Linked DNA regions of Nothobranchius furzeri. The protein of the gene in region 3 binds, or shares a complex with, the protein of the main gene of each other region. Links are inferred from orthologs where the notes say so. Each region holds a gene or a part of one and is shown on either strand. Other genes may lie near its edges. The genes, in order: C5a anaphylatoxin chemotactic receptor 1-like, p2ry2.1, gnao1b and chrm2a.

Region 1 (5,479 bases), on a different chromosome or scaffold from region 3:
TCGACAAACTCTAGACCCATTTCCACTATTTACCAATCAGATAGTGAAACACTGAACAGGGAATGAATGCATGTGACTTTAATCTACTAGTTTCTGCTCCCAGCTCTACAGCTTTTATCACTAGTGAGCTTCAGCAACTCAACTCTGGGTTTGATAAATGCGGTTTTAACCTAACAGTGTATAATATGCATGTGTTTTTAGTATGTTAAAACACAGTTTTCTGTAAAACACACTCTGTAAATAGCCCTGTTTCTGTAAATTCCATCATGAGGCCTTGTTTGGAATGAATGTAGCTTGTAAAGTGTAATTTTTCTCTCAATTTTGGTACTTTTTTTGTACACAGTTGGTTTTCTTTTCTACGAGATGCAATAAATGGCTGAAGGTACATTTCACAGAACTCCTGAGTGGCTGTACACTTATTTGACACAATGTTAAAGTGACAATGTGTAGTTTTTATTGTTAATCTCTGGAAATATTCAACGAAATGTTGAAAATGAATAAAATGATGTCCTGTTGTTGAAACATATTGGCGGTTTCGTACCACATAACCATAAAAATCAAGTCTAAAGTTAAAGTTAAAGTCAAAGTTAAAGTCCCATAATTTGTCACACACACAGGTGTGTGTGCGAAATTTGTTCTCCGCATTTGACCCATCCCCTGGGGGAGCGGTGAGCTGCAGACACAGCCGCGCTCGGGAACTATTGGTGGTTTAACCCCCCAATCCAATCCCTTAATGCTGAATGTCAAGCAGGGAGGCATTGGGTCCCATTTTTTCAAAGTCTTTGGTATGATCCGGCCAGGAATCAAACCCCTGATCTCCCAGTCTCAGGGCGGACACTCTACCACTAGGCCAGTGAGAAGTAGACAGGGTATGGATGCCATGTTTTCTTCTTGCTGTCTCGGGTTCCTGTGCCTGTCGACTGCATCACTCTAGATGATTGGCTGGACGTACAACTTACCGAAGTTACGACACCACATTCAAGAACATTTAGGTAGTAAAAAGCATGGATTTAATAACAAAACTGCCAAAATCTCTCCAAAACAATTGTGAAAGAACAGAAAAAGAGATTAAAAATGTCCCAAGTGGTATTGCCGTAGTATGATGACATCATCAGCAGGCCTAAAAGTTCATTCCAAATATTTCAATCCTGGTCTTCGAGGTTTACTTTGCTGAAGCTTTTAACTGTTCCTCTGCTTTAAGATGTCTGATTTGATTGGTTCAATGACCTTTCCCACATGTCCCAAAGTTCTGTAGAAGCCAGTTAATCAATTATTGATTCAATCAGATGGTTTGAAGCAGAAGCATCAAAAACAGGCAGGATAGTTCACCTTCAGGACTAGAATTAGACTGATTCAGAGTATGTTTCCCTCTTGAGGTTGTTTTAAAAACTGCCACTCAGAGGCAGACTTTTTATTTGTCATTTCCACAAAATGAGCGAATGTTACAAACTCATGTTACAAAGTGTGTTACAAGATTTAATTCTAAATTTCAAATACATAATTTAAATACTACAAAAATGTATAACATGCTGAGATTTAAAAAAAGTGGGAGAAGTGTCAGTTGCTTGGTTGCATGAGGCACGGGTGTCACAATCTCACAGACTGGGCAACATTTCCTCATTTGCAACACCGAGTCAGAGTGGAAAACTCAAACCGGCCCAAGCATGGGACAAAAAGTCCTTCCCGTCCTGACTTTCAGAATCATGACATGCATCATCACTTTTTATTAAAAGTATGGTCAAATCCAAGAGTTTATTCCAAAGTAAGGTAGGAAGTTTGAATCTGGTGTATTTTAAGAATGTGATTAAATCTTAGTCATTTCCTTTCCACTGCTGGTGCTCTTGGTGTCACTCTGTGCAATGGTCCCTTTAAAGCTCGGATCCTCGGTGGCGAAATGCAGGATGTTGCGCAGAGAGCGGTTCATGCTGTGTTTGAAGTTTCGACCCATGCACACATAGATCAGAGGGTTGAGGCAGCTGTTGAAATAGGCCAAGCACTGAGCTAAGGCTTGAGTTATGTACAATGTTGGCTTCCATGGGGAAATAGAAGGGGTCGCAATGTAGAGGAAATCCAAGATGTGCAGGGGGAGCCAGCAAAGAAAAAAGGTCAGCACCACTGCAGCAATCACCTTTACAGTTCGCTTGGACTGGTTCCGACCACGGGACAGCCCGCTCTGGGTTCTGCTATACACCAAAAGGTGGCAGATGAGAATAACCAAGAAGGGGAGGATGAATCCAATGATGAAGCGAAAGGAGGCGATGGCCCAGACGTTGTTTCTAGAGTACACCATCACACACTCTCTCTTCTGTTTGCCTGCCTCGATCTCCCGGGCGTAGACAAACTGTGGGATGCTTACTAACAAGGACAGATACCACACAGCCACACACCCTAAGACAGCATGCATGGGTTGCCTGTTGTTCTGACACCAGATGGGTTTTTTGACCATCACCAGGCGATCCAAACTGATCACAACCAGCTGCAGGATGCTGCAGTACATCACAAAGTAGAACAGACCTTTGACCAGCGTGCAGGCCAGCGGGCCGAAGTGCCAGTGGTCATCAAAGGCCAGAGGTACCATGAGCAGAGGGACAGAGAGGCAGCACAGGAGGTCAGCCAGAGCAAGATTGAGGAACCAGAGGGAGGTGACGGAACGGCTCATGCAGAACCCGGTCACCCACACCACCAGAGCGTTACCGGGAACTCCCAGCAGAACGACAAGGCTATAGAAGACCAGAGTGGCTATTTGGATGGGTTGGATCTCAGGGAACAATTGATTTGTCTCATTTGTCGTGAAGTTATAGTCGTCCAGCTCAAGGATGTATTCATCAGCGGTGGTGTCAAAAAAGTCATCCATGGCTCGTCAAAGCTGTAGGTGAGAGGAAAAGCATTATCACCAATGAAGATTATTACTCGAGTGATGGATAAACATCAGTCAGTTACGAAAAATGTTCCATAAAATATTTAACATCTACACTTACATTATTGTGTTTTTTTAATGTATAAAATTAGATTTAATAGATGTTTAGACTTACGGCTGATTGGGACATTGGCGATGCACTCTCACTCCTAACAGGAAGTTGTGAAGCTGTAGCAAAGCTTTTTATGTTACAGCCCCAACCCCTTCAGTACACACACACACACACACACACACCTACACGCATGCACGCACACACTAGTCTAGCATTCATTGTGAGGACCATCACTGACTTCCATTCATTTTAGTGACTGGATTACCCTAACCTTAACTAAAACTTAATTCACACCAAACCTCTAAAACTAACCAGTAGAGCTCTGTAACATTAGTACCAAAGTGAGGACCAGCTAAATGTCCTCACTTTGGTACTAATGTCCTCAGTTTACAGGTAAAAATACTTGTTTTGGTCCTCACTTTGGTGTATAGACACCTAGACACACACACACACACACACCTACAGTCTGATTTATTTAATATTCCACACACAACTCACACATATTCCTCATTTGACCTGGTCAGCGCTTGTTGCTCTTTTTTTATCATTTTAGGACAATTTCAGATTTGATTGTTTTTTGTAATTACCGGTACTTGATTTGTTTATTTTTTTCATTATGCAGTAACTTGTTGTTGCAAGTTAGAACTTATTTTACATAGAAGAGCTGAAATATTTTAATCACTTTAAAATACTTGTTATTATTAATAATAATACATAATAATAACAACATATTAAAATAAAAATAAACGTAAATCCTCATAAAGATGCTTCCAGCACTCAGTAGAAAAGGACAACCACTAAGCGGATATTTGTTAGAGGCATTTTATTCTTTTTTATTAAATGCAAACATGCATCAACTTTTTAAAATAACTGATGGTATAATCTGCATCATTTTACATTATTGAGGTTTCCTGTTCATATTTTCTTCCCTCCACTCCTTTTGCCAGGTCTGCCTGACTGAGACCATTAAAGTTGTTTTTATCTTTTGTAGAAATTAAGTTATAATCTCTTTTTTCTACTCCCACATAATTTATCTTCATAAACAGTGACTTTTACATTCCTGTTGCAAAATCATGCTTTGCAACATTTAATATGTGTAATTTAAAGGTTTGACATTAGTAAAAAAAGAAACATCCTCATTATGTTCTGAATTTGCTACAAAGCAGCTACAGAAAAGTATTATACCACTGGAGAATAAATACTTTATTGTCAAATTAAAATATTCATTTTTATTATATACAAGTCATTGAAATGTGTCTGTTTTCACATGAAGGGATGTAAGAAGTGGAGTTTGTCTTGTTTGTAACAAAAATGACCGTCCAGTCCGCAAAGAGCTTTACGATGTTTTACTACAGAAGGAATAAGCAAGTAAACATCCTAATGAGCCACACAGAGCTTCATTTAAGGATTCACGAGGAAAATACTAACTATTGTTTGTGTTAGAGACAGAAATGAAGCAACATTTAAATTAAGGTGGAAACTATTGCTGATCAGGATGTATTTTGGGAGTTTGCGCTATTCTTTTTCCAGGGAAATGAAACGCAAACTTACAATGTCAGCAACATGTTAAAAATAAACAGAGGAGGAGAAAAATGGCATGTTTTTGCCTGTCATACATTCATTTAGCAATGAAGAAAACAATCCATTATGTACATTTCTTTAACCTAAAACTTTGTTTTTGCTGAGTTCATCCATGGAGGAGTTTAGTCACACTTGTTATCGTTCATTTCTGGGAGTTTCTTCACAGATTGAGGAAGAAGGAGAGCTTAGTCAGTTGAAGGCTGGAGCGCTGTTGGGTGGAAGTGTTGGAGTCTCATCTCTAAACGCATCGGACTGCAGGTCTGCAGAAACAACATGACAATGTGGTTATGTCGTCATTTACAGCACTTCACATACACCGTGTAAGTCAGAACGCCCTGTCAGGAATCTCCTAACTCTTACTTCCTGAATAATTTTCCAAAACTGCATCATCAAACCAGAATTAATACAGGTTTACAATGACTGGCTAAAGCAAAAAGCATTTTTCACTAAGTCACACAACACTGGATAAAATAAAAGGCACATTTTCTTTTGGAAGAAAAATGTGCAGAGGAGGCATTTTGGGAGGAAAGAAAGAAAGTTAAGGAGAGAATAAAAACAGGAAGGACGTTCAAGTCAGAAGGAGGTTTAAACGCACATTTCCCTATTTTAACTTTAGAAACAACATAGAAGATCTGGTCATTATAGGCTGTAGGGCTATGAGGTAATAAAAAGTCACATTTGTTTTCAGGAACCAAACAAAAAAAATATGTTCTGAGAGATTCATGCATCAAATGCACTATATTAAATATATGCAAATAACTGATAAATCCTTTATATGTGGATTCAGAGAAGGCATTGAACCGCGTCCCTCGGGGGGCCCGGTGGGGGGTTCTTCAGGAGTACGGGGTACCAGGCCCTCTGATACGGGCTGTTAGATCCATGTATGACCGGTGTCAGAGCTTGGTCTACACCGCCAGCAGTAAGTCGGG
Region 2 (5,841 bases), on a different chromosome or scaffold from region 3:
CGGTGTACCAATTAGCAACATAACACTGCAGCTGGATTTAACAGTGAACCTAGAACAAGGTGCATATCTTGTGATTTCCTTTTTTACATCTTTAAAAGACAGCTAGAAATCCTAATTAATGCCACAAAGCGATGCTTTGTTGATTTCTTGACAGCCCACCTAGCGCCTTCTAGCTAACGATGTTTGACGTTTTGACGGTCGCGGCTGCTGGGCAGATGCACTCATGTCAAAAAGGTTCATGCTAACACGCCTGCTAATGTTGACTAGTAAAGGGCTTCTAAATATCACAGTCCGACACACGTGAGGTTACAACACTTGTGTGGCTGGCATTGTTTCAGCTGAAACATAACGGTCCCTGGAAATCACTCACCTTCCTTGGCGGCGGCTGCATTTTGGAGGCTTGACATGAATGGTATTTCCCTTGTGAGATGTTTTGTATTTCCAAAAGGAAATCCAAAATCAGCGTGAAAACTGATGTATGGCTTCTTCCAAGCAAGGACTCTTCCCCCCTTTTTAAGTCTCGACGACAGGGGAGGAAAGATGGGAGTTAAATTTGGACTCCGGCGGCCATGATTGATGATAAACGGCCAGTTTACAGAGAGCCGAAACTGAGGCTACGAGGAGAGGCAGCACACGCTCGTGGTGCTTGCTGCCACTACGAGTGTGTACTGTACTGTTGTGGAGCAGAGGAGGGAGCAGACAGAGAAGAAAGAGCGGAGGGGAGAGAGGAGGAAGGGATGGGGTTGTCAACAGGAGCCCGCTTCAGGAACTAGGTTCAATGGCGCCACCATGTGGTCAAATACGGGACAGCAGCAGGTGTCTGATTAAAAAAATACACAACAAAACGGTCTCGATTTCGATTTATACACCTGCACGCGTATCAAACAAAATAAAGCTACAAAACGCACATTTACTGAGGTGTCCGGATAATCCCCCCAGCATTAATTTGTTTTCCTTTTTTGCTGCAAAAGCTTGCTCAAGGAGAGCAGGGAAGAGGCAGACCCGCATAGCAACAAGACTCCGCAGTCAATTGCAGAAAAATCGATCGCGTTTCAAAAACAATTAAAATGTTTAAAATGAAGCTTTATCCCTTTTAAAGTGCAGTTTGATTTAAATTAAGCAAATAAAAAGATCAATAATGGCACGAAAATGAATAAAAACGCAGAATAATGGAAAATCTTCTTACTCGTGGAAACAATTGCTTGTTTAACCCTTTCAGGTAGTATTTAGCTGACAATTGTGAACTTTTTTGTGCAGCATCAGAGTAAAAATTAAATGGGACCTAGAAAACATAAAGAGCTATACATCACAGCATAATGCCCCTGAATCATTGCATGAATCATGAGTCATCACTCCAGTTGTATTTGCAAACCTGTCATGATTTATTATCTAATTTAAATTTGAGATCTTTTTCAACACATAAAAGGGTTTTCATATACACACGGCAGAAACCTCCCATTTAAAACTCAACTTCCTCATTCCATAATTTTGCATAATGACCTTTACAAAGCAGCAATGTGATTTATACAATCCACTCAAGGTCGAGACCGATGGCTGAAGATCAAGAAAATGCACTCGTGCATTATAATTTCTCTGGAATCAAAGATGGCTGCTTCAATCTAAAAAAATAATATATGCACTAGTACTACTGGTTTTTCTTTTTCTCGCTAATAATATAAGTTAATCAGATAAAACACCCAGATAAAACCAGTTAAAACTGAGTCATAGATAGACAGGTTAAAGGACAGGTAATCATTAATGCAGAAAGCTCCTGGAGCAGGTGAAGCATTACGCACTGTTTTTCACCTTTCTTTTCACTTTAACACTTCAAACTGACACTTTCACGTTGGCATCCAGAGAAACCAGACACATCAGCACAGAAGAAAAATGGATCACAGTCACTTAGAGTTTCTATTTATTTGTTAGGGTACTGAGATAGATATTTTGGATTTATAAAAGTGGATTTAGTTTTCCTTTTACCATACTAAGGTAAGCAAAAAATTGTCTAATTCAAAAACTAGGACTTTATAATTGTTTCATTCAAAACAGAACGTTTTTTTTACGTTGGGCCCATGTGGAACGTTATTGTGAAACATCAGGCATTCCTTTTAGTCAAGTCTGAATTGTAGTTTTAGTGACAAATATTCACAGATGGACACAAACACCTATAACCCAAACTGGATACTGTTAGGTACTATTTAAGTGATGAGTTTGATGTAAAATGTTTAACATCTCACAGTAACTTTACAGTGAAATTGAGGAATGCCGCAAAAATAATTAATCTCTAAACAAATTAAATTTAATGCTGTGTCCTAAATGTGTTTTAAATTAAAATATATATATATGTCATAATGAGATAATAAATGTGTAATAACATCTTCTGTGTTTATTATTTTTAATAATCATCCATCATTCAGAAGCAAAACAGAGGCATGGTAAAAATAAATGTACAAAAACACTCAATAGTTTTTTACCATATTGCCATTTATTTATTTTATTTATTCATTTTTAAACTAGCAAAGTCCCATTGGGATTAAAAACCTCATTTTCCAGGAAGTCCTGGACAAGAGGCAGCAAAAGTTACAGTCACAACATTTCTCAGTTACACAGTTATGTACAGAATCACAGAAGGCAGTTACAACACAGGAAATCCGTCTGGTTTTAAATGTATTCAAGGATCAGTTAATTTCCAGTTTTCTTGCAACCTGTTTCATGAAGAAAGAGCAGAACTCCTTAATAAAGACAATTAAGTCAAAGTCGCTAATCTGTGAAAAACAAAGTATGCTGTGATTCAGTGGCATGGCTGTGGCCTGCATGACTTTTTCAGCCGCTGGAATGGTTTTAAAGCCTCTCCTGGACTGATGGGAGAAAACCGTTTCATCTCTATCATTTAACGTTTACACAGAAAGAAAAATCACAAAGCGATTCACAAAGAAAACCACATCAAAATTAATATGTTATTAAAAGACAAGAGACAAACAATAAATAAAAAATATATCATAATACAGATGAAAGATGATTAAAAACAGAAGAGGTCATTGTTAACACACGCTTGAATGCTCCTGATCAGCCAAACACAAACAGCGCTTGCTTGATGACGCGTGAAGATGAGAAAATTAATTACCCGCTGACGCTTTCACGTTCAGCCTTTCCACCTATTGACCTTATTTTGGTTATTGTAGAATCTATAGTTTAGTTGGTTTTTTTTTTCAACATTTGAGGTTATTAGTGCCACTTTGTTCTGTCTTGTCATGTTCAAACAGGTTTTTCTTTTTTGTTTGTTTGTTTTTGACGATCTACATAAAATATTTCAGACAAGTCTCCTTTTTTGTGTGTTTTAAAAACAAGTTTTATGAGTGTAAAAACAAGCGTTTGTTGAGGCTGTTGAGCCTCTATGATGAATGTCCAATTCACATTCAGCATCTGAGCCTTCGGGGCTGAGACGTGCCAGCTGCAACTTGTCAGATCAACACACACCTCAGAGATTTCAGCAGCTCGAGTGTCAGACACACATACACATGCACACTGAGGATACACCGCTCAGGAGAGCCAGCGTGATGCACTGAAATGGTGTGAGTAACATCCTGTTTGATGAGTTTTAAAGATGTTTATGTGTGAAAGTTTGCCGGATTTGTAAGATTTTGTCTCAGCGTGCACACAGCTGCTAAGAAGAGCGAAGGTTCATTTCCAAAGCCGCCGCTCTGTCTCTGGTCTGCTCTCTGTTAAAGCTCAAATGAAACAGTTTGAAGTGGAAAAAGGAAAAGAAGCGGGAGAGCAGAGTGCTCAGTCAGGACAAGCAGCTGTTTCTTTTTAACAGAACACATAACATCAGAAGGAGAAAAGGAGCTTCCTGATCATCTGAGAAGTGTGTAAGTCATGTTATTTTCTGCATTAATGAACTTGTTTTAACTTGAGCTTGCCAGCTTAACAGAGCACTTTAGTCTGAGAGAGGCTCTACTGTGCATGCTGGTGGAGAGAGAAGAGGAAAGAAAATGTGAGAAGGGTCTGAAAACAGTCTGGTTCGAGTTAGACGATCCCAGCTGTAAGCTCTTAGAAAACTCTGGCATACCGTGTGAGGGTTGATGTTCTGCAGGAGAACATGGCTGCAGGGAACATTTTGTTAAAGCTCGCTTCCACACGACCACCTTGTGTGAAACAAATATTAATGATTTGTGGTCAAAGGTGTTTAAAGGTAAACCAGAGAAGCAGTAAACACCTGGATTTCATGCTTTGATTTGACTGGATTAGAGCTGCCAAGCCAACATGTTGCATAGACTAAGATTAGTAAGTAAATGAATTAAATAAATAAATTAATTTAATTAATTATTTAAACTTTTAGTCTAGAAAAAAGAACAAGCAAAGATTAGATTTTTTAAAAACGCAATGAGATTTAACCCTCTGGAGGCAGGCGTTGCAGATTTGCAACAGTTAAAACCTACCTACCTGGTTACTCCACGTACGTGTTTCATGAGTATTTTTAACTCAGAAGTACTCCTGAAGGACTTAGTTGTTCGTCCTTTTATCAAAACTTATTTTTGAGCCTGAGAGGGTTAAAGCTAATTCAAGCTTCATTTAAGATCAGTTAAATTCCTGTTTCCTCAGGTGTTCTCACAGCCAACATGTCCTCCTTTGGCCCCAACATGACCAAACAGCCCAACTCCAGCACCTTCTGTGTGTTTAATGAAGAATTTAAGTACATCCTCCTTCCCGTCAGCTACACCCTTGTCTTTGTGATTGGCCTGGCGCTGAACGCCATGGCGCTCTACGTCATCGTGTGCCGCACAAAGCACTGGAGGCCCTCCACCATCTACATGTTCAACCTCACCATGTGCGATACGCTCTACATCTTCACTCTGCCTTTCCTCATTTACTACTACGCCGACGAGAACGACTGGCCCTTCAGCGAACCCGTCTGCAAGCTGATACGCTTCCTGTTTTATGCCAACTTGTATGGTGTGGAAAAACAACACAACACACTCTCAGATGTCCACAAAAACAAAGACAGATCTGTTCTTTTTGGGTGGATTTGTGTGGAAAAACAATCAGTTATATACCTGTGGTGGATAGGTATTTGAACAACCTCAGTCTGGAGAAGCCGAGATTAGATAAGCTAACGGTTAGGTGAGACGAGCCAGGAACAAACACTCAAAACAGCTCAGGGTGTAACATAATTAATTGGAATTTAATAATTTTGACAAACATAATCATGTACTGCAGAGCTGACGGCAGTGCAAGTCTGGAAATATACTTGCTTTTAATGATGTGTGCGTGTTTAAAATGGCTGTCTCGTGTGACTTGCCATGATTTGAAGCATCATTTGTGTGCGTCCCCTGAAATGAACCCGACATGTTCTCATGCTGCAATATACGAGTAACCATTAGACGGCGTTAACGAAATCTGGTTTGGAGTTAGGGTCAGTTACTGATCTCTTCTATTGATGCCATGTTTGTTTTAGTTGTATGTACAAACCCAGCTCTCTATCTGGTGTGGGTTATCTACTGTGCCCCCTAGCGGAATTCTCCAGTACTGCATGCAGTGCAGTGCTGTACAGCAGCAAGTTACAGCAGCAAGTATGTGAACAAAGGCACTGCCTGCTGCCTGCATCAACTGCAGGTTAAAAAGCAAGTGTATTCCAGGCCTAACAGTCTTTTAAAATAATAATTTCCATTTATCCTTAGAGATCGGAGCCCTTTGAGGATGCATTAGTTTACTGCATGGCTCCACTGTGAGTAGCTGCTCAATTTCTGGTCAATTTCTGCTTCTCCAGTTGGAGATTGTTCTATTAGCTAAGGAGCGATTCAGAACTTTTCCACAGAAAACCACTTTGAAAGATTGTAAAAG
Region 3 (6,099 bases):
AAGAAATTTATACATATAATGTAATGTACCTAAAGTTCTAATTTTAAATGTTTTTTTGGTAATTGTCTGTTATGTATCAACAAAAATTAAACGATTCATTGGTCAGAATTAAGATTAAGATTCTTAAAGAGCAAGTCACCCCCAAATAAACTTTTTTTTGCTGATAAACTAAATAAACGAGTGTCTAATCGTGCTGCAGACACGTGTCGTCAATAATTTGGCACTTCAGCGCATCTTAGTTAAAATTTAAATCTTCTGCCTAAAACTGGCAGTGTTGTGCCGTTGTCAGGTAAAAACTCTGCACTGTATTTGAATTTAAATCCGCCATCGCTATTGGCTAAGAGGTATGCTATGGTGTAAACTGGTACATTATGATGCCACAATGCTGTCGTAAGCCTGTGTGTGTGTATTTGTTAGCGGCTCCGCCCTCTCGGTCTGCCAGGCAACAGCATGTGTTACATTTTTCAAACATGAAGTGGGAGTGGAGTTAGACTCTGGTAGGGGGTGACTTGCTCTTTAACAAACATACAAAGCTATGAAAGTTCAAAAGATTCAGTTCTGGGGATTAAAGCATGGTGCTTGTTGTGTGAATCAAAGTCTGTGAAATACAAATAAAACAGATTTTTGTGTTTTGACTGATTCTGGACTCATTGGTGGCACTGGTTCACCTTTCAGGTGTGCGTTCCACAGTAAATTCTGCTGAGTTGCTGAACACTTACAGTTGTTTCGTCTTCATGGAGCACCTGGTCATATCCGCTCAGAGCAACGCAAAAGATGATAGCTGTCACATCCTCAAAGCAGTGGATCCACTTTTTCCTCTCTGACCTCTGACCTCCGACATCAAACAGCCTGAAAAAGGAGGCAGGAAAACAAATCAGGTGTTGAGCTACAACTGTTGAACTTCATCTTAGACGCCTGTTCTGAGAGGCTGAGCTTTACCTGAAATGAAGGTTTTTGAAGGTAAAGTGGGTTTCAACGATGCCAGTTGTCTTCACTCGGGTCCTCAGGATGTCCTGCTCTGTAGGCTGATAGTCCAGGGCTCCGATTCGGTCTAGACTGTCCAGGTAGCTGTCGAAAACAGGAAGTAGGGTTGATAAACGCTCTGGATTAGTGGCACAATGTTATTTCTGAGCAGAGGCTTTTAGGAGGTGTTTTTGCTGTACTCACTATTGAGCAGAGTCATTAAGCTGGTATTCTCGGGCACGGTTGAAGCACTCCTGAGTCCCGGCGTCGGCCCATAAACGCTTCATAGCAGCGAGAAGCTCTGCGGAGTACGGCTCCGTGTCCTCCATACGACTGACGACATCACAGACCAGCTTGGCATCGGCCTGGATGAAACATGTTTCATAAGTTCAGAGGAGCAGAAGAAAAAATGTCTGCTTGTTAATTATTTACCAGCAGCTCAAACGACTTTCTGGGATGATTTGCAGTCATTTCTTTACTGTCACAGGTCAAATATTCCCAGAAAATGTTTTTTTATCTTTAGGAAAAGCAAAGCTAATCTTTAGAAAACTTGGTAGGATATGAGTGAGACTAACTTTCCGGTCCTTGTCTCCAAACTCAATCCCGAGGGAATCCATGGCTCGGAGGATGGCTGCCAAGCTCTGGATGGTGTTGCTGTAGACCACTGGCTTATACTGCTTCACATCATCCCCAGAAAAGCCATCTTCATGGATAATCCTGCATGCGTACGGAGATATTATCAAAGCCTGGACCGAGCAGGAAAAAAGTTGCAAATGTCCATATGTTCCTGCGTTACAAAACAGCTATCTTGTTACAATAAAAGCCCCAGGTTTTTATGAAACTCAGTAGGCCTGCGTGTGTGTGTGTGTGTGTGTGTGTGTAGTGATTATTTTATTATGTTTGTTCTCATCCTCTCCCCATGTTTCTCTCATCTAAGCATGAGCCTAACGGGAAATGGTCATATTCTCTCTCTGCGATGTGTAACCGGGCAGTAATGTGATATTTCAGTCATTTATAATTCATGAACTGAAATCAATCAGACCACTGATCAATCACGGCTCCACAACTCTGGACTGTTAAACTTCTTACAGCATTAAAGCATCCATCAGCGGCACATCTTCACCCTGACCAGATCTATAAAACATCCTCCAGAAGCCCACTCCCACAGCTACTTCATTCTCACCGCCGTACAGCAAGGAGGGGTGGGGTTAAAAGAAAAGATGTGGGATGATTGTTTTCATCTCATCAGGGCACATTATGAAAAGATGTTTCACAGCCGACTACAGCCACCTGGCCTGAATCTCCAGCACCATCATCACAATTAACAGTTTTATGAAATACAATAAATTGACCCTCAGGGGAGGGGGGGTGGGGATGAGCTGAGGCTGAAGCTTTATGGAGCAAACAGATGAATATTATCAACTTGAACATTTGGAAAGACTAAATGCTAATAATAATAATAATTATTATTATTATTATTATTATTATTATTGTTGTTGTTATTGGTTTTAAAGAATAACTTATCAGCAGTAGTTAAAAAATAAACCGCTGATGTTTCTACAGCAGCCTACTTGAGTAATTATTAAAATCTACAACGCCCTTTAAATTGTTCTTGAAGTCAACTCGTCCCTGTTAGTTTGGACATGACTCCACCGTCTCGCTCATGGGCCAAACCAGAGAAGCTCGTCTGGATGTGAAGATGATGGTGATGAGGATGAGGCAAAGAATCACAGCAAAGCCCAGTGCATGAACCCTCCGATACCTAGACTTTATGACCCAGAGCATGTAGTAAAACCCATCCATCTGCTGCTGGCCCGTGGCTAAAGCAAGCCCGGAGAGTATTTGTAAACACTATTTGGACCAGCATCTTGGTTCGGAGCAGAGCAGTAAGTTATGGACAACCAGGGAGCTCTGGGAGGGTAATGAAGAGGAAAAAGGGAGGGTGCAGTGAGTCGATGCAGAGTGCAGAGCAGAGCAGGAAGGAGGAGACACTCAGATGCTGCTCACAAAAGAGCTGCTGCATGGTTGACGGGACAAAATGTGAAAGAGCTCTGGTTTTTTGTGCAGAAACATCTAGAAACTTGACTAAGAGGTTTACATGAAACAAAAGCAGTCGTTTAAAACACCAAAGAGTCATTTAGCTCAGACACGAAAAGGTTTAGATGCGGTTTTAGGAGCCATATTTCTGCGTAAATCCGCTTTATAGGCAAAGTACTCCCGGCGATATCAGGCACTTAAAGCCATTAAGATTAAAAGCAGAGGTATTCACTAATGGAACAGCAGTGACCTCACTGTAATTCACACACGCACGCGCGCACACACACTGCACACACACACACACAGACACAGACACACACACGTCCCCAGTGGCACACTCCCCGTAGTCAAGCAAAACCTTCGTTAACTACATTTCAGCACCCCGGCAGTGAACAGCACCCTGGGACGCACCGGCGGCCTCCGCAGCCCTGCTGACGGTCTGCAGGAGGTGCTCGAGTCACCGGTGCTCCTCCGGGGCTTCGGCCTCTCGGAAACATGGCGGCTCAACCTGCCTTAGTGCTGACAGGGGAGGCGCAATCTCAGGCCTTTCACTCCGGCTGAGTTGGAGAATACCGATATGATATAAATAAATAAACAAATCAGGCTGACACTTACTTCATTTGTTTGACGATGGTACTTTTCCCGGATTCTCCGCCGCCTGCAAAGAACGGAGGGCAGAGAGAGAGCAGGCATTGAAATCAGTACCACGGAGAGCACCTCCGCCCCACGCAGTCCCAGCAGCAGCCCCGCGGCCGCGCCGCCGCTTCCCTTACCGAGCAGGAGCAGTTTGACGTCCTTGGCGGCGACCAGCCCGTCCTCCTTCAGGTTCTTCTCGATGGCCTTGCTCCGGTCCAGAGCTGCGCGCTCCTCGGCGCTCAGTGTACACCCCATGTTTCCAGGCGAATGAGCGGTCCCGTCGAGTCCCCAGTCCGCCCTGTCCCTCTCCTGCTCTCGGTCGCCGCGGTGTCTCTCAGTCTCGCTCTCCTCCCGCGCTGTCTGCTACAGCATAGGCCCGGATTCGGAGCGGAAAATAGAGCCGGGATCCCGAAACAGTCTTCTCTCCGTGAATGTGCACTCTCCGTTCCGTCCCCTCTCTCAGAGGGGGGTGGGGGGGTGGGGTCGCTGTGCGCTAGCCTGCAGGGTTGGGGTTGTTGTTAGGCGGGGAGAGCGGGGGGGTCTCGAGCTCTATCTCTCTACAGGGCGGCGCTGGTGATGATGACAGAGAGCACGAGCGATTTCACCGTATACTTTCACGAAGGCTGGCAGGAGGTGGTATGGCAGGCTGTTACCGCATATAATCAACAACGTTTTACATGTCTCCTGTTCAGAAATAGGTCGATTTAAATTACATTTTTGAAAATTCTGATTTAAGGTGGGTTGGTGTGTAATCGGTCACATGGCATCGTATCGAATTTAAAATATATTGCGAGCTTAAAAGAGTTTTAATCATAAGATGGATATGTAAGGCATCGATTGTTCAATTATTTTAGCGGAAATATACATTGCAAGTTTCTAAAAAGGCCGTTTTTATGCTCAGTGAAAATCTGACATATGTCAGTCATTCCTTCTTAAATTATTGAACGCTTCCCACTAGTGTTGTGGGCTTTCTTTTATACACAGATCTAGGCTACATGGTAAAACAATACGAAAACACATTTTATTTAACATTTCTGCTAAAAATTCCAATTCACACGTTTTATACAAACGGTAAGTCAAATATTCCTACCGCTAAAATTAGCTAAATTTGGTCATTTTGCATCAGAAACATTAAGGAAATAAAATTTTCAACAAAAATGCTTCCTAAAAAAACTTTGTCCAAATGTAAAAAAAATATCAAACTTACATTATAAATGAGAAATCATTACAATAGTTTTAATCGCACACACAAGAATTAACTATTTTGAGTTCACGTTTCTATGATACATTTGCTTCCCACACAGGGATGGCCGCGCGAGACTCACCTAACAATCTGGTTTACGTCAGAGCTGTCAAGCTCTAATCACGTCCGGTGAAAGATTTAAATGGAAAAGACTCCTAAATGGCAAATGTTACCCTCCTGCCTGGTGTTACTGGTGTGTTCTTGTAATGAATTAAAATGTCCCAACTTGGCCACCGTCGCTCTTATTCTTGTTCTCCAGGACCTGGGTGACGTTTAATCATGTCAACAACATTAAGTAGGTCTGAAAAACACCCGGTGGTGGTCACGGAACACCAGGTGAACATTTAATTACGTCAAAAATATAGCACGTTAACCGGGTTAAATGCGTTAAAATACTCATTAGTGAATTTATTTTTACAGATTTTAAAGGTGAATAGCAAATTCTACACAAGGTGGGTGAGAAACTAAAAATAGATTATTGATCACCTGATGCTTGTGCGAAATAACAGCACTTCACTATAAATTATGATCTTTTAAATTAAAAATTAATTTCACTGCTTAACAGTTTTTCATGGAAATCAAATATAATTTATGCAAATACTTATTAAAAGCAGAAAATTCAGTAGTAGGCCTATAGCGCATATATATATATATATATATATATATATATATATATATATATATATATATATATATATATATATATTTATATATATATAAAACATCAGCCATTTTCAAATTTGTTTTTTGTTGGCAAAAATAAAATATTCTCCTACACTGAGTCAGATTCAAGCAAAAAAAATCACTTAATGCATTAAATGTTAAGCTCTGTTGAAGTATGACCACAGACGGAATTTTTTTAATAATGTTACATAATACCACTCTTTATGTAAATTAATTGCTCTCCATTATTGATATTAAAAAATAAAAAGACATACTGTTTCACCTGGTTCAGAATTACAGCAGCATGAGAAGTAGCCTATTTCTTCCTTGATGTTGTCTGTTTTTGGTAAAAATGTTCACATCACGAAACAAATTGCTGTATTACAAGACAAAATAAACGCAAAATGCAGTTTTCAAATGATGATTTTATTCATTAAGGAATAAATATGAAGGTCGTTGTCGTTCAGTGTCCGAACTTGTACATCTGTTGTGTTTGTGCAACATGATGTGAGCTTGAAAACTCAGATGTGTGTGTGTGTGTGTGTGTGTGTGTGTGT
Region 4 (5,936 bases), on a different chromosome or scaffold from region 3:
TTCTGGAAAAGGCCTCTGAGTATTAGCAGCTAGCTTCATGAGAAATCGCTTCTGATTCACTCTGACCTTTATCTACTTCAGGGAAGATGCTGACTACTCAGAACTACTCCACATGGACCCACCTCACGACCCAGAGCCACTGCAGACGTCCTTTACTAAACAGTCGCAGAAACGATCTTTTACTAACTCACCAGGCAGATTCAACCGGTTTCGACTTGTTTTACACAAATGAGTTTAAAAAAGACTTTTTATGTCCCGATGAACATAAACACAAGATTAATCATTCAGAAACTTTTTTTTGGGAGGGACTCGGAGTAGAGCCGCTGCTCCTCCGGATCAAAAGGAGTCAGTTGAGGTGGTTTGGGCATCTGGTCAGGATGCCTCCTGGACGCCTCCCTGGGGAGGTGTTTCGGGCATGTCCTGCCGGCAGGAGGCCCCCGGGTCGACCCAGGACACGTTGGAGAGGTTACATCTCCAATCTGGTCCGGGAACGCCTTGGGGTCCTGCCGGAGGAGCTGGTGGAGGTGGCCGGGGAGAGGACGGTCTGGAGCTCCCTAGTTGGGATGCTGCCCCCGCGACCCGGACCCGGATAAGCGGAGGAAGACGATGACGACGAGACGTTTTATTTTTTCTGGTGAGCACCAAATGTTTAGATAGATTCTAGTAAATTAGGACATTACTTACTGAAAATTATGAAACTAAACTGGAAGGGGAACTTGAACTCAGAGATTTGGTCTGACTGCATCACAAAGCGTATGTCAGGACTTCCAGTTTTCCTTTACATCTCACCATGAAGAGCTCATTTCCATCCACTGATGCGGGCCGAGCTCCTGTAACAGCTTTCAAGTGTTGGAAAAATGCCACACAGGCTTCAATAGCAGCTCCAGGAAGCCATCGAGCAGCTTCAGTGCACAAAAGTGCAGGTTTGAAAAAAAGAACCAAACGCCGTGCATGGCAGGCTGAACTACGTTTAACTGGTTACCTGGATTAATGCCTTAGATTTTACATAATTGATGCATAAATTAAGAGTACTTAGCGCCACCTGTGACTCTAAAATTGATTCAGCTCTAAAGGAGGAGGAAAATGTTGAGTGTTTGTGTGAAGATTTAAATATCACGTAAAATCCTGGTTCAGTTCAAACTTCCTGAAATTAAATACAGACAAAACAGAACTTCTTTTGGTTGGTACCAAGAACACCCTCTCAAAATTTGACAGTTTCTCTCTCACTGTTGATAATACTTCAGTTTCCCCCTCTCCCCAGGTCAAGAGTCTGGGTGTCATCCTAGACAGCACACTATCCTTCCAATCTTATATCAATAGCATCACACGGTCAGCTTATTTCCATCTTCGTAACATTAATCGTCTTCGCCCCTCCCTTGATGTCCACTCTACTTCTATTCTTGTCCATAGTCTGGTTACATCACGTATCGATTACTGCAACTCTCTTCTCTCAGGCCTCCCTCAGAAAACCCTCCGTAAGCTCCAGTTGGTTCAGAATGCAGCAGCACGCATCATTACTAAAACTCCCATCTCTCATCACATCACCCCCATCCTCAAACAACTCCATTGGCTACCAGTGCATACCAGGATTACCGTAAATCCTCTAATATTAGCCTGTATTCAATTAACGGCCGGGTATCATATTTTGGCCGGTGTCGGCGGAGGTGAATAATGGCCGGTATTTTATTGTGGCCGGGTGGAATGTGATAACAAGCAAGTGCCACAGGGAGGGCGGTTGTGTCATCATCTCACTTTTGATTTGGCAGCGATAGACCGCGAGGGTAACTTCAACCGTGCGGAGACGAAGAGGAGGTGAAAATTTGATATCAAGTTCAAAGAGAACGTGCTGATTATGCTGCAGAACACTGGGGAGCAATAGGGGTTGTATGAACTAGTCGACTTCACTATAGTGACTTTTTATGCCTGTCATCGACTAGTCGCTGTCACTTGATAATGACCGGCAAGATGCAGCCCTCGGAAAAGACAGCTGCCTGCTGTCAGCAGGTGACAAGCTCCTGCGCGTCGGGAGGCAACGCGCTGTGCCAGAGCGTCGGTACTGACACCCGCCGTAAAACGGACATTTAACCAAATTGTGACCTTTACCCTCTTGCAATTTAACCTTCCCCTCACCCCATCCTAACCTTAACCAGCTTGCGCATGCAAAGCTCTGATCGTTGACGCGCTCCAGACATCTGCGTCCTGAGCACGGCCACAGTAACATTATCAAATCAGGTGTCGCCACCTCAAAAACTAATTTAACACGCGATTGTTCATGTCGGCTCATTTCCTTTAACGTTTTCTGTCTTTTATTTGTGCCTGATGCGTTTCACTGCTGTGGATCACCTTGTCCTCAGGTGACGCACCGATCACTGATGCGGCCTGCAAGCAGCAAGCACTCCGCTGTTTTTGCGGTCGGTAGATCTTTTAGAACTGCAGTTAAAAGGTAACTCATAAGGTGAAGAAATAGAAATTGAGGCCTGTCTCTAATTCTGGCCCTCCTTCCAATAAAGGCCTGGAGCTTGATTAGCTTGAGTCAAATACAGGCCCGGGCCTGTATTAGAGGATTTACGGTAATTACAAGATTCTCCTTCTCACCTTCAAGGCCATCTATAACCTTGCCCCTCACTACCTCACAGATCTCGTTCACATCGTCACCTCGTCCCGTTCCCTCAGGTCCTCTGCCTCCATTCATCTCTCTGTGCCCTCCTTTCGTCTCAGCACCATGGGGAGCAGAGCCTTCAGCTGCACCGCTCCCAAACTCTGAAACTCCCTTCCCCCTTTCATCAAGAACATTAACTCATTCACAGAATTCAAAAAACAACTCAAAACTCACCTCTTCATAACCACTTATCAACTTTGAATTTTAGAGTGCCTTGTTTGTTGATGTTTACGTATGTTTACTTACTGAATGATTTGTGTTTTTATTCTGTACAGTGTCCTTGAGTGACCAGAAAGGCACTTTTAAATAAAAATTATTATTATTATTATTATTATTATTATTATTATTATTAAATTGACCCGCAGCAACAGAGAACGTTCATAAAAAAGGACATGAAAAAAACTAAATGTGTAAAGTGAGTTGGCCCAGGGAGTGTTTCTGATGCCCGTTTTAAAATATCTTGTATAATCTGGAAATGATTCGCTCGCATGGGATTGGACTTGATCTGAGTGTCAAGAGTAAACAGTCTGTTACTGTAAAGAGTCGATACTTACAGAGAGCATTAAGAAGTCCGCTGAGCTTTCTTGTGCTTCGTTGGCATATTCAGAGAGCGCGCACCGACTGCAGCACCAGAGAGACTTCTTTTTGATGGAAGGAAGCAAAGGGCAAGTCTGGCTCCAGCCTCATGGTTAGTAGCCATCTTCACTGCAAAAACACACATTAGAGATAAAGCAGGATGAGAAATGCACACGAGGACCAATGTACTGCCTTTATCAGCATCAGCCAAGCTGTAGATGAAAAGACTGATAATGCTCCTTTATCTATCTGAATATTAAACATCCAGGAGACGGTTTACTTTAGTTTATTGTAAACACACAAGATGTAACTCTGCAGGATGGACATGATGCTAAAGGAGAGAGGGTCACCACCACCCCATACGCTTCCCATCAGAGCCTTGTCCCCAGTGAAATACCTGAGCATCAAAAAGATGTACGTTTGCTAGCTCGTGGCAAAGAACCAGAAACCCAGAAAGACAAGAACCAAAACCAGTAATAACCCTACCATACATCAAAGGCATAACAGAAAAAATAAGAGCAACAATGAAAAAACACAACATAAACACACCAACAAAACCATACACAACAGTTAGAAACAGACTAGTGCACCCAGAAGACAAGATACCAGCTGGACTTAAATGTGGAGTCGTTTACGAAATCCCATGCAAACTCTGCAATAAAACATACATAGGAGAAACCGGACGCCAACTCAACACACGAACAATAGAACATAGAAAGGAGTGCGAGAAAGAGAAAAGTTGAAAACACACAAGAGCAGCAAAAGAAGAAGCAGAAGGCACAATAAAGAAGTCAGCCATAACAGATCACTGCATAAGAGAAAACCATATAATGGACTGGGACAACACAAGGATCATAAACACCGAACAACAGAAACATCAAAGATGGATAAAAGAAGCTATCGAGATAAGGAGACGTGGATGTGGGACCATGAACAGAGACGATGGAGTTTACACGTTGGACCGCGCATGGGACTGCATTGTCGGAGAGGGGAGAGCGGGCAGCAGAGGGCGACAATGTCCTCTGCTGCCCGCGGATAAACGGAGAAGGAAGTGATGCCACCATCAGCGTCAGCTCTGAGGAAGTCTGCAGCCGCAAACGAAACGTAGCGAGAAAACAGGTAACGAAACTGTTTCTGTGTTTTAAAAAGGACGACAGCATGGAATTAGCCATAAATCAGGTTCAATCATTTTGTTTAGAAATGTTATGTAAACCAAGAATCATTATATATTTTAATGGAGGGACATCATAAATTTTGTTATTATGGAAACAAAGATGTATGGTGATGGGGAAAAAAGGTAAAGTTGAGTTTAGGGGTTTTAGTTGTAGTCACTGACTGATATTAGAATATATAATATTTAACATTCACAGGACATCTATTCATACAGATTGATGAAAATATAAAAAATAAACACCTGGACTATTCAATTCCTCAATTTTCTTCTTTTTTTGTTTGCTTAATCATTTAAATTGTGAAAAATGTATGCCTGAATCACATGTATACAGTCTACCTTTTCCCCTTGTTATTTGTTATTTATTGATTTACTTTATTTATTTATTTAACTTATATTTTATGAAGATAAAAACCACTTGAGATGTGTCGTCTTATTTTCGAGCGGGTCCTCAGATTATGAACAAAATAGCAGATAAGACAGCAGAGTCCTTTACATAATCATATCACAATCACAAAAACAAACAAAACGCACACACACACACACACACACACACACAAAAGGGAAAAAAATTATGGCTCTCAAAAAATAATAGCTAGGGTCATCTTTAAAACGCATAATAATATAAGCAGACCCAGTGAGTAGGACCTGGCTGCAGACATCAGCTGGCGTTTCACCGGAAAGAACTTTCAAGTGAGAACAAGATGGCGGGTCATTACTTTAACCGGGAAATCGACGCGCGAAAGACCTCGGCCGGAAATTGGTCTTTTTTGGCGGCCGCTACATTGCTTTAGTGTTGTTGTTTCAACCACTCGGTGGATTTCAAAGAGGAAACGTAAGGATGAAATTAATGTTTGTAACCAGTGGCGGCTCCAGAAATGTTTTTCTGCAGGTGCTATGAAGGAGCTATTCTTTTTATTGAGGGTGCTATGAAGGAAGTGGTCATGCGTACCTATTGTTCTCTAAAACACCTTCAACACTAGAAGATACACATGCGTGCACAACACCTCAACAACACCTGAAACAATCATTAACATGAGTTCATAAACATATGAACAATCGCTGACTTTTTCATGAAATCATAAACACATACAGCCACACAGAAAACCATCTATAGTGTTGAAAGGTTAGCTAATGTTAGCGTTAGCATTTCCAGTGGCAAAAACCTCAACTGCTGCGGCGGTTGAGGGTTGGCCCTCTTCATCCAGATCCGTAGGTTTTTGTGGGTCTGAGATCACTTCCAAAGATTCATTCGTTCCTGACTGAACCCGTGGAAATTTGGGCAACAGAAACCAGTCCGTTTTACCACTAGCTCTACCTTTCACTCGTTCGCAGGTAGAAAATGAGGTCAAAGGTTAACATCAATTTCCTGTTTTGGTTTAAGTTTTTACTATCTACATGATAATTTACTGATTATTTTTGTTTTGTATGTTAAATATTATCACATCCACACGTTAAATTCAAATTAAATTGTAAAAAAAAATCTAATATTGACCATTTCTTATTGAATAAGTAAAATTAAAGTTTGGT

Evidence for each region.
Region 1: the proteins of gnao1b (region 3) and C5a anaphylatoxin chemotactic receptor 1-like are in contact, whole or in part, in a cryo-EM structure (PDB 8JZP), measured with the Homo sapiens proteins. The link is inferred for Nothobranchius furzeri from reciprocal best matches to the Homo sapiens genes GNAO1 and C5AR1. Residues at the interface, in NP_066268.1 of Homo sapiens: Ala31, Lys32, Lys193, Asn194, Leu195, Glu318, Tyr320, Phe336, Thr340, Asp341, Ile343, Ile344, Ala345, Asn347, Leu348, Arg349, Gly350, Cys351, Gly352, Leu353, Tyr354; in NP_001727.2 of Homo sapiens: Asn71, Phe75, Arg134, Leu137, Val138, Pro141, Ile142, Gln145, Ile225, Thr229, Arg233, Ala234, Thr235, Arg236, Ser237, Lys239, Thr240, Val243, Val244, Ala303, Gln305, Phe307.
Region 2: the proteins of gnao1b (region 3) and p2ry2.1 are in contact, whole or in part, in a cryo-EM structure (PDB 9K20), measured with the Homo sapiens proteins. The link is inferred for Nothobranchius furzeri from reciprocal best matches to the Homo sapiens genes GNAO1 and P2RY2. Residues at the interface, in NP_066268.1 of Homo sapiens: Ala31, Lys32, Asp33, Val34, Leu195, Gln305, Glu309, Glu318, Ile319, Tyr320, Cys321, His322, Met323, Val334, Phe336, Thr340, Asp341, Ile343, Ile344, Asn347, Leu348, Gly350, Cys351, Gly352, Leu353, Tyr354; in NP_002555.4 of Homo sapiens: Asn66, Ser68, His130, Arg131, Gly134, Val135, Pro138, Leu139, Leu142, Arg143, Met221, Arg224, Leu225, Ala229, Tyr230, Gly231, Thr232, Ser233, Pro237, Ala239, Lys240, Lys242, Ser243, Arg245, Thr246, Leu308.
Region 4: the proteins of gnao1b (region 3) and chrm2a are in contact, whole or in part, in a cryo-EM structure (PDB 7T8X), measured with the Homo sapiens proteins. The link is inferred for Nothobranchius furzeri from reciprocal best matches to the Homo sapiens genes GNAO1 and CHRM2. Residues at the interface, in NP_066268.1 of Homo sapiens: Lys24, Ile28, Ala31, Lys32, Leu195, Tyr320, Asp337, Ala338, Thr340, Asp341, Ile343, Ala345, Asn347, Leu348, Gly350, Cys351, Gly352, Leu353, Tyr354; in NP_000730.1 of Homo sapiens: Asn58, Arg121, Cys124, Val125, Pro128, Leu129, Thr130, Pro132, Val133, Lys134, Thr136, Ile209, Ser213, Lys214, Ser215, Arg216, Ile217, Arg381, Lys384, Val385, Thr388, Ile389, Cys443.

Annotation. Positions count from the first base shown.
Region 1 is NC_091753.1:27,201,457-27,206,935, forward strand, and holds C5a anaphylatoxin chemotactic receptor 1-like, read right to left. Parts: upstream 3,099-5,479; 5' UTR 3,033-3,098; intron 2,867-3,032; 5' UTR 2,855-2,866; coding exon 1,805-2,854; 3' UTR 1,376-1,804; downstream 1-1,375. Other genes in the region: uncharacterized protein lbhl, read right to left, coding at 4,740-4,810.
Region 2 is NC_091753.1:35,782,942-35,788,782, reverse strand, and holds the start of p2ry2.1 (P2Y purinoceptor 2), read left to right. Parts: upstream 1-1,845; 5' UTR 1,846-1,989; intron 1,990-3,420; 5' UTR 3,421-3,869; intron 3,870-4,602; 5' UTR 4,603-4,619; coding exon 4,620-4,953; intron 4,954-5,841. Other genes in the region: F-BAR and double SH3 domains protein 2, read right to left, coding at 371-391. UniProt on the Homo sapiens protein: Receptor for ATP and UTP coupled to G-proteins that activate a phosphatidylinositol-calcium second messenger system. The affinity range is UTP = ATP > ATP-gamma-S >> 2-methylthio-ATP = ADP.
Region 3 is NC_091749.1:60,165,119-60,171,217, reverse strand, and holds the start of gnao1b (guanine nucleotide binding protein (G protein), alpha activating activity polypeptide O, b), read right to left. Parts: upstream 4,042-6,099; 5' UTR 3,892-4,041; coding exon 3,774-3,891; intron 3,659-3,773; coding exon 3,616-3,658; intron 1,681-3,615; coding exon 1,539-1,680; intron 1,329-1,538; coding exon 1,168-1,328; intron 1,069-1,167; coding exon 940-1,068; intron 850-939; coding exon 720-849; intron 1-719. UniProt on the Homo sapiens protein: Guanine nucleotide-binding proteins (G proteins) function as transducers downstream of G protein-coupled receptors (GPCRs) in numerous signaling cascades.
Region 4 is NC_091741.1:42,027,966-42,033,901, reverse strand, and holds the start of chrm2a (muscarinic acetylcholine receptor M2a), read right to left. Parts: upstream 3,364-5,936; 5' UTR 3,214-3,363; intron 1-3,213. UniProt on the Homo sapiens protein: The muscarinic acetylcholine receptor mediates various cellular responses, including inhibition of adenylate cyclase, breakdown of phosphoinositides and modulation of potassium channels through the action of G proteins.